Linked DNA regions of Drosophila melanogaster. The protein of the gene in region 1 interacts with the protein of each later gene in a pairwise test. Each region holds a gene or a part of one and is shown on either strand. Other genes may lie near its edges.

What was found. The genes of interacting proteins can lie anywhere in the genome.
Region 2: the proteins of Sod3 (region 1) and CG15800 interact in a two-hybrid assay, tested with the Drosophila melanogaster proteins (one large-scale study listed by BioGRID).

What each region holds. Positions count from the first base shown.
Region 1 is NT_033778.4:11,382,119-11,385,879, forward strand, and holds the start of Sod3 (superoxide dismutase 3), read right to left. Parts: upstream 1,997-3,761; 5' UTR 1,897-1,996; intron 958-1,896; exon of another isoform or gene 814-957; intron 200-813; 5' UTR 194-199; coding exon 131-193; intron 65-130; coding exon 1-64. Other genes in the region: sprt (sprite), read right to left, coding at 2,943-3,324, 3,438-3,761. UniProt on the Drosophila melanogaster protein: Protects the extracellular space from the toxic effects of reactive oxygen intermediates by converting superoxide radicals into hydrogen peroxide and oxygen.
Region 2 is NT_033778.4:23,790,077-23,793,351, forward strand, and holds CG15800 (uncharacterized protein), read right to left. Parts: upstream 1,152-3,275; 5' UTR 1,117-1,151; coding exon 643-1,116; 3' UTR 538-642; downstream 1-537. Other genes in the region: sona (sol narae), read right to left, coding at 1,920-1,991.

The DNA.
Region 1 (3,761 bases):
CCTGGGTATTATCCGATTGCACGGGTCCAATCAGATAGGCAATGGCTTGAATGGGCATATTGCGCTGCAAAGTAAGTTCAGTGTCCTAATTATAAGTGGATTTTCAAATTAACGAGATTATATATCTTACCGTCTGCGCAGCAGAGCAAATTGTGGCACAGAGTGCCAGGCTAACAACAAGATATTGCATCATTTTGAACTGCAAGGAAATCATAGTTAAATTAGACACGTGTACGACTCGGATAGCAAATGTTAGAAATGTTTAAATGTCTATAAATAAATAATTTTAAATTGAGTGGCACAAGCAGAGAAAATCCCACCAGGGATGATCTACTGGACATAGCTAAAAATGAACTAAATGATAATCCTGAAATTTCGATAATTGATATGGACTCAATATTAAAAACATCTTCCAAAACTATTTATATAATGCTTTATAGTAAAGCTTTAAATGATTTGGAACCAAATACTTTCAGTTTTGGGAAATGCTAGGAGGGTTTATGTCTTGTAATCTCAAATTCCGTGATGCCAACTCATCTCTGGCACTTGAATTCCAGCTCATCTCTGGCTTGGACGTCATCAGGTGTACATTCTCTTGATTCCATTTAAACGGACAGTTGTGTGCGGAATTGAAGCGCCTAGCCTCAATTTATGAAACGATTTGTGGGTCATATATGATGTGCGAACGGGTATTATTATTTATGTGTGTGAATAATGAGCGATACCCAAACGAAACTAAATGCAAACAGCCTTTTTCACAGGGTTAAGTGCGGCTGCGGGAAGGTCAATCAACAATCTCTTTTTCGTACGCACTTCGCTTCCAAAGTTCCACAAATGAAATGGATGGGTGTCACACTTTATCGGGGCAATATTTGTTTATGGGTCCGGTTTCCTTACGGTCTTATCAATGTGTCTGCGATATGCTGGCGATCTTGCACGCTCGAGTTCTGAAACGATCTTCAAACGCGGTCAGTACCTGCTCTACACACGTATCCTTATCTGCACTTGGAATCGGTCCCATAATTTACGATTCTCACGCTCGTAGAGCGACTGAATTTCGGAACTAAAAATGCCATTGTCATTACGTATAAGTATTTTAATCTGTTTTTTGCCAGGTATTTACTTATTCTGGTTCAAACTGTCACGAAATGGGTCACAAATTGCAACTAATAGCCACTGCTTGTCCATCAAATAAGGTTTATTAGGGCTCTTGCTTGCTGATTAAATATGATTGATTTGAAAATAATAACTCAGTTTGAGTTTTACCGTGAAACGATATGCTAATGAAGATGCTTATCTGAACAATTTGATCGCAGGGCTCTCTTCGTGAATTTGCAAACAATACAGCCAAGATTACTTGATTTCACACACAGAGACTTCGCGTCTAATTTAAACGCCGAAGCTATGCAGTTTTGAGATAAGAACAAGCCATAATTTTACATATATGAAAAGATAGAATATCGTAAACACTTGTTCAACCAACTGTTCACGATTGGGAATTTAAATGTTTATTGAAGTTTTAAGCCGTGGAATGTGTGGATTGTAATGGATATGTACAATATTTTGTGTCTGGTCTGTGCTGCATTTTTGCCCACTCATTTTTCTGGATTAATAACTGGTTACCTTAACCCACTCAAGGGTGAGCGGACAGTGAATGAGAGAATCAAAAATCAGTGAAGTAAACTCCGTTTTTGCGGTAACTGGTTTCTTTTTGGTAACACGCAATTGTGGGTAATATATCTAAATCAGGTTCTAAAATGTAAGCAAACCAATAAATTATGAACAATTAACAATTACAATTAACTCAAGTAACTTCAACTTCAGCTTAACCTTCACCCAATATTCTCGATTACTAGCCCTTGATCTTCTTTTTTTTCGCGTCCGTTGCAAACTCACCTTGTTAGCAACTATTTTATAATTGGGTACTGATTGTTTTTTGCGAGAATTAAGCGATTGCACCTCTGTACCGTTGGAAACCTGCGACGGAACTGTTTCGAGCCTCTGGCATTGCCATCGCAAATCGACTCGCTGAGAGAACATTGGGGCAGATTTGGCGAGAGCAAGAAGACCGCAGAATTGAGAATTGAGAGCGCCACCAGGTGGAGCGGCGGATATTGCATTTGGCGGTCAGCACGATCGCGTAGGCGAGAGTTCCGCTCTCAGGTTTATCTCGGGCTTACTTCACCGCTCTATCGCTCTATCTCCCTCGTTGAGTTTTTTTTATCAACTGCAGATTGATCAGATTCTTTTGTCCAGCTCTGATGATATATTTATTATCCTATTAACGGCCTTTTTTTTAATTATATCCAAATTATAGCTATTAAGTAATTCTTTGAACTTACTAAAAGCGCAGCTGAAACACGCTAACGTGCTTTTCATTTGAATACCTTATCACTGTGGCGTCATAAAATATGTGCCAGGCTCGTGCCTACAATGGAGGTCGTAAATATTGGCATGCTTTCCAGATACGGCGAAGCAATTTGAAGAACTACTGCTACAAATTCTTTGAAAATGAGTTGCCAGGTAATAGCTTCTGATATGCCAACCGATGCCATGAAATTGTAGTTACATCACATTTATAGCAGGCCGGGATCGAATTTTTTAAATAAATAACGCATTTAAGTAGGTGAAAATATTCGTGTATTCACATTTGTAAATTGTGCTAATAAAATCATCGTACATACAAAAACTCTTAATTATTGATTCTCTCAATACTAAATGTTGATAGCCAAGCCCTACTTATACAAGATATAGAATGTAAGTACATACTACTGCTACTACATAATAAGAAACTTTCCACTTGGGAGCTGGTTAAAATTATATTGCCTACTGTAATTTTGCACATGTCCGCCTGTTTTTTGGGTTTAACCGCCGGTTAGGATCGGTCGAGGATTAAGCTACTTCGATTAACAATTAGTTTTGGTTGGATTGGGATCGGGTTTCTAGATGAGCTTGTGCCTGCCGAGGGAAGCCGTGTGCATGGGACTGCAGTTCTCGATGAGCATGGTCTGGCCCTCTCCAGTCGGTGATTCTCCACCTTTGTTGTTGTTGTTGTTGTTGTGGTGGACCCTCTTCATGGGCCGCTTTCGTTCGATATCCGCACAGGGGTGCAGCTCCACGGTCTGCAGACTTTGGGCTCGTTGCAGCGATAGCCGGAGGGGTTTCTTGGGCGGAGTGGGTCTAGTGGTACGCGTCTCAGTCGCAGGCTTCGATTCGTTTTCGCTATCGAAATCCAGGGATTTTACACTCCTCATATCGCTGGGCAGGCGGGCTCGAAGTGTGTTCGACTCACTTTGTCGGGGCGTGTCTCGGCGACGATCCAGTCTGGAATGGCGAAGAAGATCGGGGAGATTAGTCAGGAAAATTTAAATCTATGAAAAAGCCTGTCTTTGCTAGAACATCTACACAAGAATCTCGAAGAATCGCGAATAACCTACCCATTGTAATGATTCAGGTGCTCTACACTGCGTGCGTGCGTGCTCATGAGATGTTCGCGATGCAGTTGCTGCTGTTGCTGGAGAGGATCTCTGGGGCGTTCCCGGTGCTGGCGATCGCGATGGCGCTCCTTATCACGTCGATGGTGCTGCATATAGGCAGAATCGCTATTAATCGAGATCTTCGAGGCGGACAGCGATTTGGAGGGCATGGAGTACATGTGCGACAGACGATCTCTCAAATCGATGTGGGTATTCTCCTTGATCAGTGTTTTGGTTACATGTCCGGGAGGGGTTTGTGTCGAGGCCATGTCGTCACCCATCAGC
Region 2 (3,275 bases), about 12 Mb from region 1:
AAGGCTTAATTTATTTGGCCGGCAATTGATAGGCCGCAAACATTTAGATATCTCATATTCCTTTGCATTTCTGACAGCACATAAAGCAAAAATGCAAACCTACAAAACTGCCAACTGCCGACTGCTGACTCACTCGAATCCGAATCGATATTCTGGTGGTGTTTTGCATGAACCAACCTCAGTTCGTTTTTTACATCACTCTTTTCATGCTCGGCTGGGATTTGAAGGGCCTCGTCAAAGTTGTTGTTACTTGGGCTGTTTTAGTCGCTTTTGTTGTTGCTGGTGTAGCGTGTCAACTTTAATTGCAGTGGAAAACGGAGACGAAGTCGTTTATGGGGCACTTTTTTATGCCAGCACTTTGGCAAGGCTAGGGGGTCGATGTCTCCGCCAACACGAACTTGCTCCAAAATCGGAACCCAAAATATCATGGTCTATATTTAAGTGTTTCCAAAAAAAAAAAGTCAAGGGAACGTGAAAATAAAATGTGGGTTCTCGTGCTAAATTTGAATATTTCATTGTAATAGGTTACGAAAACGGAAAGTTACTACTATTATTATTAATATTTTTTATTCTTTGAATTTCAGCAGTTTTGAATACAGCCAAGAGACAATTTTAGCCCAAACGTTCCTTTTACAAATCACCCTATTCCTTTTGAATTTGCTCAATGAAATGATCCTGGAATCTTGGGATCTTCTCCACGTAACCGCTGAACTGCGTCTCCGGCTCTCGGCTGCTGAGGAAGACGAGTTTCTGGGCACAGAGCTTGTAGAGCCAAGGGATGTCCAAGTAGTTGCAGCCCTCCATGATTTTGCAAATGCTATCGATTTCCACGCGCAGGAACTCCTTGTCCCAATCGGAGATCTGCAGCTCAATCTCCTCGGCCGGAAGAGGATCTTTGCTGTCCACCCAGGCGGGCTCTTCGTGTTTCTCATGGTACTCAGCCCACAGCAAGATCTTCAGCAGGACATTGCTGTGTATACCGTGCAGCGGCAGGACGAAGTCCTCATCCTCTGGGACCTGGCCAACGCGGCACATCTCCCGGATCACCAAGGATTTCTCGAGCAGAGCCAGATTTACGCTTATCGTACGGCCATCCCTTGTCTCGAATCGCACCATTCTTGAACCGAATTTCGAATAACAAATTAAGAGCTTCGGATCAGAAAGTCAGGGCCTACTGCTTGCAATCAATACGAACTAAACCACAAACTTGTGCCTACTCTACCTCTGGAAATTGTTCAAATTGGAGTTCAATATCGAAATAAACCACCATCTGCTGTAATCACAAAGTTTCCAAGCGACCAACCAAAGCCATAACCTCCGCAACAAAGGCAGTGACAATGAAAGAGAAAAGTGTAAAGAAGGCGGCTAGCAAATGGCCAACGACAGCAGAATAATAAAATAAAAGTTAGTAAACAAACGGAGGGAGGGACAGTCTGAAATTCACTTGAAATAATTACAAGAACTTTTTACGTCCGACCTTGGCCATAATTTTGCTGGCCAAGCTTTTTCTCGAAAACGAAAAGCAAAAAAAAAACTCGAGACAAAAGCTGTGCTGTGTGTCAATGAGATACGTACCCATACAGGCGCACTCAGAAACCTGGCCCACAATGCAAACACACAATGCCAATGTTTTATTTCTAACGACGACTCTCTTCGGCACTGCGCTCTGCTCTGTTTTGTAATTTAATTAATATACAAAAAATGTTTTGTATTTCTCGAAATGCTAATTACGCACAATGCGAATGACAATGAAACCGCCGACTGGCGGCCATTTGTTGTTCGTTTTTTTTTTTTTTTGCCCCTTTTTATCCGTTAACAGCTGGCTTTATGGCATTATAAGAGCCCAAAGGTTATTTATATCGCACCGATTGATTGATGAGTTCTTGCACTTGGCATTGATCATATCTGCGGGTACTTACATCTGGCAGGCCCTGGCATATTGTGCTGCTGACCAGGAGGAGCGCTGTGAAAAGGACCAGTGGTGAGGACATCTTACTGCTTCGGCCGCCTAGGGTGCTAATATAATCCTTAAAAATGCTTAAACTGCAAAGAGACGAAGGGGAAACGAAAATTAAATAAATTAAATATTAATTATTATTAGCCACATCCCATTTGCCAATATATTCACGCAATGGGCCAGCATGCAAAGTATTTATTTCCCAAATAATGGTCTTACCACCTCACATGACCATTAGTTCCCTGCCCACAAACCCGTCCTGGTCATGCTCGAATGGACAGCACTGTGTTTGCAACGCGAGTACAGTTAGCATCTGTTGTTGCAACTCAAACGCCGCTTGCTGCTTCAATTAATATTTACTTTTAGTTTTGTAGAAAGAAACCTAGTTTTCTGGCCCGCTGGCCGAGTAATTAATTATTGCATAAGGCCAAGAAGCAGCCTCGAGGCATAAAACAATCTTGTGCTGCCCTGTTGATTGCTGTTTGTGCTGCCGTTGCAGTTGCAGTTGCACATCCGCCCGCCATCGAATGCGGCTAATTGTCAATAATGATGCAGCGATGCGTGGCGAGGGGGTAACAGCATCCATCCAACCTTTTGACAAACCAACCAAGAAAACAAACAGAACTGACCAGCGGCAACAAAGGCAGCAACAGCAGCAGCAGCAGCAACAGCCGCTTCACGTTGCCGTGTCGCAACTTCTCAGCGACATTTACGACAAATTGCATGACATTTTATATCCCAAAGGTTTTGCACAATTTGCATGCAACGTGCTGCAAGATCCGAACTGCCGTGGCCCACTTCGAGTGAAAGAAAGTCTCGCCGGCGAATCGATCATCATCAATCGTAATGAAATGTTCGGCTGAGCAATTGCCAAATGTGGGTGGTACCCAGCCCAAGGCCAATGCCCCAAGACACTTGCTCATGGATTGGCGAAAATTGTAGGTAAGCGCAAGGAAAGTTCACTTTTTCCTATTTCAGCCGGCGGGCAGGCAAAAATGAGAAAATGGAATCGATATTTTGAGTAAACATGGAAAGCGCTTCAAAACAAAAGACTTAGAACACGAACTTGAGCTTAGAAGCATGACAAGGAAGCTTGCAAGCCACGTTCAAAGATGTGTAGCTACAAATAAGTGTAAAATCTTCCAAATAATATGAAAACCATTTTGGCCAAAGGTCAACCGACTTTTGCCACCATGTAATGGCCGTCAGAAGTCCATAAGAAAAGCATCAATGCTAACAGAAAGTGCCAGTTGGCAACCTTCGCGGCGAGACTTTCACCCAAAAGCAAAAGTGAATCAAGAGCATTGAAAAGTTTTAA